Mus musculus: one gene and its partner. The protein of the gene in region 2 binds, or shares a complex with, the protein of the main gene of each other region. Links are inferred from orthologs where the notes say so. Each region holds a gene or a part of one and is shown on either strand. Other genes may lie near its edges.

Region 1 (5,411 bases), on a different chromosome or scaffold from region 2:
TGAGAAAAGTGGAATTCAAACATTAGCACCATACACAGTAGTTCTGAGAAAAGGCAAGCAGGTGGACAGAGTTCTCAGGGCCTTGGTCTCTGGAGAACCCCAGAACTCCAAGTTGACATCTTAGCCCAATTATTTTCAGCTGCTAAAGTGCAGCCCAGAGACAGCTCTGAGCCTCTCTGCTATGGAGGCTGGGCTGGGGGAACCCTTGGCCAGGATGCAAAAGAGCTCCTGACTTTCATTTGCATCTGGTAACCTGGGCCGGTTTCCGCAGAAAAGGGTCACATGGCCCATAATCCTCTCTCCCCTGATGTCTCACAAACATTGGCAGATGCCCAGTTTCCTACTACCCTCCATGTCATAAACATAACACTGCTGACAGAGGTGGCTAGGGTCGGGGCATCTATAATTCCTAAGGCTTGGAGCCATAAACCACAATCCCCTTCCCTGTTTTCCACCTGCCTCTAGTGAAAATCTCCACTAAGGTGTGATACTTCAAGCTAAGAAACCAAGAAGGCTGGCTTCCAAGAGTCTTCCCTGTGACCCTCATTCATAGCAAGAGATCGTAAAGACTCAAGTTCTAAGCTCAAGGCCAAGTAATTTGGATTTGGCCAAACCCCCATGTGACAGATGCTTCACTTTCTAAGACTTAAGACTGTCTGCCAGTGCACAGAACGAAGCCTGAGAGGAACCTTTTACAAGGCTGGAGAGCTCGTGTGTGAAAAAAGACAAGTTTGAAAAGAGAAGCTGGGGACCCATACCTTGGCCTTTGGGGGCGGCCATTTCCAGGTCTGTGGGACAGTCCGCTTCTCCGTTCATTCTCCAGCTGTCCAGCCACCTCCTCGGTCGCGCTGGCCGGGCCACCCGGGGTCAAAGCCACCTCACCCTTTTGAAGAGACACCAAACCCACTTAAGGAGGCTGAGAGGAGGGGGGCTTTCTATCCCACCCCCTCACACATGGGAGGGGGCATAGGTCCACACTCTCAGCGAGACCCGAACAGGAGGCTCATAGACTTCATCAGTGGGTGCAGGAGTGAGCCCCACTCTTCTCTACCCCAGCCCCCAGAGCCAGGCGGTGCCGCATGCGCCCTCCCCTGCCCACGCGAGAGACTGCTCCCAGCTCCCGCGTGCAGCTAGCTCCCGCCCTCCGGCCTCCTTCCCCCACCCGGGCAAAAAAAAAAAAAAAAAATTCTCCTCCTCCTCCTCCTCGGTGAGCGCCCGCCCCGGGGAGGCCCCAGGCTGGAGGGCGGGGGAGGAAGGGCGGGTAAAGGGCGCGCGCGGGCATGGAAGCGGGCACGCGCCTCAGTCTCCTCCTCCCGCTTTTCCCCGGCCGGTTCCCCCCGCCTCCGCAACCCGGCGGGGACCCGGACGCCGCGCAGCCGCCGCCAGCCCGGGAGCGCAGCGGCCGGACCGCCCCCGGGGACTAGATCTGGATTCCCGCTGCTACCCCCCTCCCGACCTCCCAACGCGGTCCCCGCCTGTCCGGGCAGGCGAGCAGTCGGAGAAGCGGCCTAGCTTGTCCCCCGTCCCCGAACCACCCGGGGCCGGAGACGCCGCCGCCACCACCCAGCCACCCCAACACGCACGGAAGAAACCCGGCGCAGAGGCGCGACCGCGGCGGGAACGGCCGCCTCCTCCCCGAGCCTGCGGCCCAGCCCTGCCGGCGCCCCCGCCCCGGCCTCCGGGGAGCCGAGCCAAGCAGAGGGCGGGAGGACGGCGGCCGCGAGGCGGGGGCGCTTCGCTCACCGGCCCCGCCGCCCCCTCCGGCGGCCGGCGAGAACTGCGCCTGTCGGCCGGAGAAACGCGGGCTCCTCCACCCGGGGCCTCACTTGGGCCTCGCTTCCTGCCCTTCCTACCCCCGGCTCACGGCGCCCTTCCCCGTTCCCTGATCATCTTGTCTACAGTTCTCCCGGTATCGCCACTCGGCGTCTACCGCAGCCGCGGCTCGCTCCCTAGCCCCGGCCCCGGCGCACGTCCTCCGCCGCCTCGGTTACCCGGCGCAGCGCGGCCTCTGAGCTCCCCGCTCCGGCGGCTCCCTTCTCGGCTCTGAGCGCGGCGCCCTCCCCCGCTCGGCCGGGCACAGCCGCAACTCCCTCCCGCGGCGGCAGCGGCTCCTCCTCCGGGCGCGGCGGCGGCGCTGGGGCGGCGGCTGCTGCTGCTGCTGTGGCGGCGGCGGCTGTGGCTGCTGCCTGCTGCTCCTCGCGGCGAAAAGCACAAAGCACAGCGCCCTCCGCCTGCAGGCAGCCCGCCCGCCCGCCCGCCGGCCCCGGCCTCAGCTCGCACACCCCCCGCCGCCGCAGCAGCCTCCGCCGCCGGAGCGGGGAGGAGGGAGAAGGGAGGAGGAGGAGCGGGAGGGGGGGCGGGAGAAGCGGGGCAGCGAGCGCGTCCTTCCCCGTAGAGCGCACACCGACCCCCGGGGAGCGAGCGCCAGCCCGCCCGCCTCGCCGGCTCCGCTCCCTCCCACAGCCTGCCCGGGCGGGCTCCGCGGGGGGCAGCTGGGAGGAGGGGCGGGCGCTGGGGGGACCCGGGCGGCCGAGGCGGAGGCAAGGAAGGAGGGGAGGGGGGTGGTGGTAGTGGCGGCGGCGGCTGCTGCTGTTGCTGCCGCCGGGGAAGGGGGGGGCCGGGACAGGGAAGACACGCAGCCGCCCGGATGGCGGCGGGGCTGCGAGCCGAGGCGGGCGAGCAAGCGGGCGGCTAAAGCGACCTCGCCAGCCCCGCGGGGGAACTAGCAGGCTTGGCCGGCGCGGGAGGAAGGGAGGGCCGAGGTGCGGCGGTGGAGAGGGTGGCCGGCGAGCCTCGCGGGTGCCGGCAACCCTGCTCTGGAGCTCTCTTCCAGGCTCTCCCAGCTTAAGCTCGGTTTCCCGGCCTAGTCCTCATCTGCTCCTCTCTCCCGCCTCCGGGAGCGGGCTAGCGACCACCCTGGTCCCCGGAGCGTGGCTACCGGCTTGGGACTCACGCTCCCGGATCGCGGTGCGAGGTTTCGGCGCCTACCTCTCGGTTCCCTTATGCTCCGCAGAACACCCGTGAAACTTAAAATATATATTCTTAGTCCCCTAAACAACAAAAACCTCTCCCGTCCCTCCTCACACCCGGGAATCGGCCAGGAGCTGCCGACCCCAGCGGAAGAGTCACTCTGGGAGCCGGTTCAATCCAGCCCGGCATGGCTATCCAGGCCTTCCCGGGCGCGTGGAGGACGGAGATTGGCGCCGCCAGAGAGCAACCCCTTTCCCCCGAAATCCGCGGCACCGAGGCTTACTTACCGAGCAAGTGGGTGCTAGTGAGGGCCGGGGGCGCCAGGCAGCACGGCAAGCGGAAGAGCCGAGCCGCAGCTCCGCAGCTGCCGGCGCCCGGGCAGCGAGTCTCCAGACAAAGCCCGAGATGGCGAAGCGGAGCGACGGCTAATGGCGAGCCCCACGCGCCGCGCTCCGCCCGCCCCGCTCCGCCCGCCCGCCCGCCCGCCTCGGCGCAGCGCAGCGCAGCGCCGCTCCGAGCGCTCGCCCGTCAGAGCCGCCTTGGCGCCGCCGCCTCCCGGGCCGCCCCGGCCTCGCCTGGCCCCTCCGCCTCCTCCGGGCGGCTCAGCCTCACCCCTTCCCTCCCACCGCTCGGGGGCTGCACGAAATTTTAAAAAAAGGAATAGTAAAAAAAAAAAAAAAAAATGTTTTTTGCTTTTTTTTTTTTTTCCAAGGCAGATGTTTTTCGACATTTAGCTCTTTTTTGGCTCCCAGCTCCCACTCACCTGCGGGGCCTCCGGCAGGGCTGGGGGCGGGGGTGCGCGGGGCTGGAGCCGCCGAGCGCGGGTTGAAAGCTAGCCAAGCTCTGCAGCGCCCGACCCGGGCGTGTACGCCGCCGCCAGTCCCCGCAGAGAAATCGTCCTCCTACCCCCGCCTCCATCGCTCTGCGTTTCTCTTCCAATCAGCCGGTCGCTTGGCGGCTCCTCCAGTCTCCGGCCAAGCCAGCTGCCTAGAGCGAGCTCCACTCCATCTGCTTGCCCGACTCCTCGCTCTCCTGTCGGGGCGGGCAAGGCAGCTTGAGGCCGGAGGGGGATCTGTGAGGGATCCTGCCTGCTCCCTCTCCCATTGCTCCATCCTTGCTGTCTCCTGCCTCCTCCTCTCCTGCGTTTTTCCAACTCTCCCCTGTCGCCACTGGTGTGTGTCTGTGTGCGCAGGTTTTCTCTCTCTCTCTTTTTTTTTTTTTTTTTATTGCTTTGCTTTTGCAACCCTGAAGCTAAAGCGGGATGGGGGCGAAGGGGAATGTTACAAAAAAGAAAAAGGGAAAAAAAAAAGCCTCCTAGGTTTGCAACGTATGAAAATACCCGGGAAGTACCCCGCCTCGTTTGGGTCTCGGTGCCCGGCGAGGGCCTTCCGGATTTCAGAGCCAGTCTTGGGTTGTTCTCGATGTCCCCCATCTTCACCGGCCGTATGATCCGAGGAGTTAAGAACAAAAAGTTCACCCCTGTGTCGTAGTAGGGTGTCAGTGGGAGTTGGGGAGGTTTTTCAAGAAGCAGCGGAACGGCCATCCCTTTACCCTGGGCTTCAGTAACTAGGCCGCGACCGGGGTAGGGGTTTAGAGCAAAATCCCAGCGCGTTTGTGCGAAAGAGCTGGAAGGGGGAAGTCGGAACCGGGAACGGAGCTTCGTGCGTCTCCCCCTCGGTCTCTGCTTCCAGTTGCCTGCAAGCTCCCCCTTTAATTTTTTTTTTTTCTCCTCCTTTCCTTTAATCTAATTTCTTCCAACTCCACCTTTGTTGTTACCGGCGTCACGCCTGGATCAGCCAATCCCCTTCTCGCAATCAGCTTGTCAAAAAGGCTTGGCCAGCCCTGAGAAAGCAGGCCGCGGGCGCTGTCCCCCCACCCCGGCGACGACGGGGAGCCCACAAGAGAGCTCCGCACCCCGGTTTAAGGCAGGATTTGAGCAGCCCGGCAACCACAGATCTAACCTCCCGTATTCCACCATCCAGCAAGTCTGGGGAGAAAAGGCCTGGGCGTGTGCCGCTTTTTAACCTCCCACTGCCATCGGTTCTAGTGGTCTTTACCTCCCCTGCTAGTGGGCTGAAGGGATATCAGGATTAGTTGTAGGGAGGCAGAAGGCAATGTGAAGGACGCTGGTTTCCACCAGGTCGGCCCACGCTTGGTTTGTGTCATCACTCCCCGGGACACGCCATGGCTCCTGGCTCCTCGGGCTGCCACAATAACACTGCTGTTGCTCACATCTCAGCCAGCTGGGTCGCACAGTCTCTTTGGACCATTTCTTGGCACACTGCCTTCTCCATCCACAGTTTCGTTGCTGGTGTAATTCCTCTTGTCTCCTGGGGAAAATGAGATTTCTTTCCCAGGATTTCCACATCCCACTCTGCCACGTTGCAGGAACAGATCTGCTGTGCTCAGCTTAGAAGCACCGCGTGTAGGAGAGGCAGATT
Region 2 (5,196 bases):
GGTCAGAGGGCAAGGGAGGCACCAGGGCCTGTTGGGGATGCCCTGGCTCCTGTTTCTCTGGCTTTAGCTCATCTAAGCAGCTGAGAAGAGGTCCTAAGCTGATTTTGTTCCCCACAGTCTTCTGTGCCAGCTGGAGGAGGCCACTATGGGTTCTCTGGACTCTAGCCTAAGGCAAAGCCTTTTTCTTTTTTTTTTTTTTTTAAAGATTTATTTATTAATATATGTAAGTACACTGTTGCTGTCTTCAGACACTCCAGAAGAGGATCTTGTTGCGGATGGTTGTGAGCCACCATGTGGTTGCTGGGATTTGAACTCTGGACCTTTGGAAGAGCAGTTGGGTGCTCTTACCCACTGAGCCATCTCACCAGCCCGCCTTTTTCTTTAAAACAACAAAAAACCAGGGGTGGGGTAGGGTGGGTATGCTATGCCACACACACCTTTAATCCCAGAATCCAAGAGGTAAAGGCAGGCTGACTGTTGTGAGTTTCAAACCAGCCAAAGCTGGTCTCAAAAAACAAAACAAAAAAACCCACCAAAATTCTCAAAGGGATCAATGTGCTAGAAAGAACCCGGGGTACTTGATGCAGATGCCTAGGAGCTAAAGCACTACACCACCTCCTTTGGCCTAGAGTAGGCTTCTTAGGACTACATGCTGTGGGGATTGGGTCAAGGGGCAGGGCTGCCTAGCTGTCGGGCCTGGGAAGATTCTGGAAACAAGATCCTCAGGCATGGGCAGCAGATAGGCTCACACAGCTGATGGGCTTTAGGACCCAAGAAATTCGTGAGGCCTGTGGCCTTGGGCGTACTCCTACAGTATCTGGGTTTGGTTGGGTGGCACAAGCCGTCCTTTAAACTCAACACTCGGGAGGCAGAGACTGATCTCTTTAGTTCAAGGCCAGCCTGGTCTGCAGAGTTGAATTCCAGGATAGTCAAGGCCAAACAGAGAAACCCTGTCTTGGAAAATGAAAGGTAAATAAATCTGGGTTTGATTCCCAATACCTGATGGCAGCTTATACATTCTATAACTTTACTCTCAGGGGATCTGGCCTCTGTGGGGACACAGTGATACAAAGACTTATAAGCAGACCAAATACCCAAATGCATAATAACCCTAGCACAAGGATTGGGACCTCCAAGCACGCTCAGCATTCCAAAGGAATATTGTCACCAGGCTTGGGCCCATCCATACCTGTGGATGGTGTGGTGCCCACATCCATTATGCCCATCCTGAACACAGGCAGGAAGCGGAGAGGCCCTAAAGCAATGTGGTACAAGACTACTGTAGGGCTACCTCGTTGATCAAAGTGGTCAAGGCCCCGGGGAACGGAAGCAGGGTACTCCTCCACAGGACGAGACTCCCAGTCAGATGAAGGGGAAGGAGACCAGCCCTAGGGGAAAGACTGGAGGCAGGCCAGGTAGCCTCAGAGACAGCACAGACATGGACATGGAGCACCTTGGAAGTTAGACCTGTTGGTGGTTCTGCAAACATCTTTACTAAACAGTTCCTTCCAGGGTAACAGGACTTAGCCACAGGGCCACAGCCAGGCAATACACCAACATCCCCAATAGCTCAGTTTGAACATAGCACGACAGGCTGCCCGTGGCCAGCAGGAGACAGAGGAGGGCAGGCTCCAGCGGTCACTTCTCTAGGGGTGCATAGTTCAGCAGCTTCTCAATCAGGTCCACGTGTGCTAGCAGCATGCGGCGGCAGCAGTAGCGCTTTAGGCCCAGAGCGTCCAGGGCATCCCTGTAAAGAGAAGAGTGAGGCTGGATGTGGTCTCTAGAGTCTGGATAGGTTTGGAACCACCTCCAGCTTGCCTCTGGGTATTCGTGTGGATAGGGGTTACCAGAGCACATCTACATAATCAGCGATTGAAACCTGACACCAGGCCATAGGGAAATGGCCTGGAGATTTCTGAAATATGTATCTAGATGCTCAGGGAGGAGCCAGGTGACCCTTTCCCCACCTAGAAGTTACACCTGCTCATGTGCCAGTCTTCTCCCATAGCATCCTGTATCCATCCTTAACAGCCTTCTGCCTACACCTGTTTTTTAAAATTTCGTTTTATGTGTATGGGTGCCTGATGCTCCCAAAGCCCAAAGGAGTTACGGACACTTGCGAGATACCATGTTGCTTCAAGGAACGGAACCTGAGTCCTCTTAAAAAACAATCAAACAACCAAACACACAAAACAGCCAGTGCTCTTAACAGTTGAGCCATCTAGCTGGGTGTGGTGGTGCACACCTTTAATCCCAAGCACTTGGGAGGTAGAGGCAGAGGCAGGTGAATTTCTGAGTTCGAGGCCGGCCTGAGCTACAAAGTGAGTTTCAGGACAGCCAGGGCTACACAGAGAAACCCTGTCTTGAAAAACAAAACAACAACAAAAAAAACAGTTGGGCCATCTCTCTAACCCCCTGTATCTCTGCGTTTGTCTCTTGTACCCAGGGTTATGGGCTTCCAGGGTTATTTGGGAAAGCTTAGGAGACCAATATCCCCTCATCAAGGAGTACAATTCCAGGCCCCACAGGTGGACTCTGACTAAACGCCATGAACTGGTTGTTGCTACCCCACAGGCTTTGAACTCACACTAGATTTAATTTCTCTGGGACCTAGACAGCTTGAGAGGTTCCTGCCCAAGTGAAAGAGGGTCCCAGAAGGCTAGCAGCTACTCATCAGAGCTGATCTAATAGCTGCTCATTAAGCCCCACTGACTTATGGCTTGTGCAGAGAAAGAGAACCCCTTGGTGTTGACATGGTGGCCAGAGGTCTATTTTGGGGGACAGTCATAGTAGTGAGCACAAGACGATGCCCACAAAGCCTGTCCTGCATTTTAAAGGGCCCACGAGGTTCGAAGTACATAAGGGGTAGGTCGGAAAGCAGATAGAGGATAGAGAGTAGGTCGACAGGGAAGAGACTTGAGGTGTCACCCACGGGAAGGATGCTTAGAAGTTTCCCAAAGGCCAGCAACTTGAAGAAAACCACCTTCCAAACTTCTGAGAGCCTGGGCGTGATATTGCACGCCTTTAATCCCAACATCCAGGAGACAGGCAGGATTTCGAAGTGTTTCAGACCAGACTGCTTTACATAGAGAATTCAGGTCAGCCACCGAAATCCTGCCTCGAAAACAAACTAAAGACTCACTCTTCTGGGAATACATCACAGGTCTGGGCTGGAGGACATCCAGTCTTCTCACTAGACCCCACAACCCCTGCCCTGCCAATTCTCCATAGGAAATCTTATCTACCCCCGGCCCAGGACACCTCAATTTCACTCCCGGTCCGCCGCAGAACCCTCCCCATTGCCCCTCGACTTCATGCCCCCAGTCCAGCCTTCCCGTCCTGTCCCATCCCCCGCGGCCCGCCGTCTCACCCCTCCGTGTACTCGGCCTGCAGCAGACCCAGGTAGGCTTCCCATTTGTTGCCGACGATCTTCCCGCAGGTGAAGCAGCGCACCGGGATGATCATGGCGGCGTCTGGCGTGCAGGCTGCCGGCAGTAGCTTTTCAAGGCCCGCCCCAGGCGCGCCCATAGCGCGGGGCTCATTACGCCCTAGCTCCGCCCCGTAAGATCCAGAGCCCCGCCCCGCATCTCCCTGAATCCCGCCGCAGCCCTGCCCCGGCTCCCATGATTACCCTGAAGCGGCGGTGTTCCTTGCTCGTGCCCACCCGGGGCTCCGAGAGCCTCCGAGCCCGCGGCAGCATCCCGGTCCCCCCCCTCCCGCTGTGGTGGTAGATCCCGGCGCTACGGCGTCCGAGCAAGGCCGAAAGGTCCGCGGCCGGCGGTTCGCGTTTCTCGTGTTGCCTTGACTGACAGCTGCTCCGCCGTGCGGCGGCGCGCACAGGTACGGCGGTTCTAGCGGGCTGGGGTCCCGCTGGCCGGATCGCAAGCCGACTGGAGCCAAGAGGTGGTTAACAAGTGGTGGTGGCGCAGCCGGAGAGCGGGCTGCCGACTGTCCACGGCCAAGGCGGTCTTCCCGCCTCCTGGCCCGGACTCCAAGGGGTCTCGGTCTGGAGCCCTTACCCGAGGTGCCCAGGCAGAGTCCGGGCCTTGGAGTTTGGGGCGTCCTTCTCTTCGGCCGCTGCAGAACCGTCGGCGGTACGGTGTCCCGAGCCCCGACGGCGGCCTCCCGCGCTCAGTACAGTCCTCTCCTCTGAGAAGGGTCTTTTCCTGGGGAGAGGAGCAGGGCGGTGGTCCGGGAAGGCGTCATGGAGGAGGCACCCTATGAACAGACCTTCTAACCTCTTTTTCCCGGGATATTTGGCTCAGACGCGGAGATTGCGTGCGAGACTGCTAGTGGCCACAGGTCTGCCTCACCTGGACGTGACTTAAGGACTTAAGGGAATGGGCAAGGAGCTGGTTTCTGGGGAGTGTATCACCTTGGCCGCCTTCTTGTGTGTTGGGAGCTACCCTTAGGAAAACGAGGCAGCTTGCAGTGAGAAGCTGGAGAAGTTCGATAGAGCTTGGGAAGTTTGAGATCTGGTTACAGTGAAGGCTCTGGGGGGTCCTAGACATTTTCCAGGTGCCTCTGGGAAACAAACGATGGAGGGGAGGTCGGGAGGGGTCTCCTGGGTCTTGAGTGTGGCTGGTCGGAGCCACTGGCCAGCTTGGTGGTTGTGCCCCCGATGTCACCCTGGACAGCCTCCCTGGCAGCTTTTGCCATCCCCCATGGAGCCACGTGCAGAGCCACGAGCTAGGCGACTTCCCGGTCCTGTCCCCTCCCCCCAACATCCTGCCCTGGCCAGAGGGGGCAGTGGGGGCCTGTGAGTCACTGTGGCCTGGGATCAGGCTCAAGATCTGGACTGAAGACTGCTGGTGGCCAGAGGTGAGGGTGGCAGGGGAGTGGGATAGGAGATGGTCTGTAGGGTCTGCCCTAGGGGATGGGGTGGAGGCCAAAGGCTTGGAGGAGGGGCTCTCAGTTCGGTCCGGCCCCTGGAAGACTTGTTTACTTAGGGAGAGTTGGGGAGTAGAAGCCTGTGCCAAGTTGACATTCCTGGAATTCCCGTGTGTGTGTGTGTGTGTGTGTGTGTGTGTGTGTGTGTGTGTGTGTGTGCGCGCGCGCGCGCAAGCCCACAGTTTCCAGTGGCTATCGTGGGTGGTGGCATCCTCTCCTCCCCTAGTTCCTGCTCCAGCTCCCTGGATTCCCAGAAATGGCCCAGGCTAGAGGACTCCAGGCTGTTCACCCAGACTTTGCTCATCC

The links. The genes of interacting proteins can lie anywhere in the genome.
Region 1: Polr2l (region 2) and Ubtf share a complex: the UniProt entries of both Homo sapiens proteins name them as parts of the pol I pre-initiation complex. The link is inferred for Mus musculus from reciprocal best matches to the Homo sapiens genes POLR2L and UBTF.

What each region holds. Positions count from the first base shown.
Region 1 is NC_000077.6:102,315,591-102,321,001, forward strand, and holds the start of Ubtf (nucleolar transcription factor 1), read right to left. Parts: upstream 3,507-5,411; 5' UTR 3,258-3,506; intron 2,466-3,257; exon of another isoform or gene 1,992-2,465; intron 1,698-1,991; exon of another isoform or gene 1,584-1,697; intron 1,116-1,583; exon of another isoform or gene 884-1,115; 5' UTR 817-883; coding exon 759-816; intron 1-758. UniProt on the Homo sapiens protein: Recognizes the ribosomal RNA gene promoter and activates transcription mediated by RNA polymerase I (Pol I) through cooperative interactions with the transcription factor SL1/TIF-IB complex.
Region 2 is NC_000073.6:141,471,658-141,476,853, forward strand, and holds Polr2l (DNA-directed RNA polymerases I, II, and III subunit RPABC5), read right to left. Parts: upstream 3,497-5,196; 5' UTR 3,466-3,496; coding exon 3,371-3,465; intron 1,748-3,370; coding exon 1,639-1,747; 3' UTR 203-1,638; downstream 1-202. UniProt on the Homo sapiens protein: DNA-dependent RNA polymerase catalyzes the transcription of DNA into RNA using the four ribonucleoside triphosphates as substrates.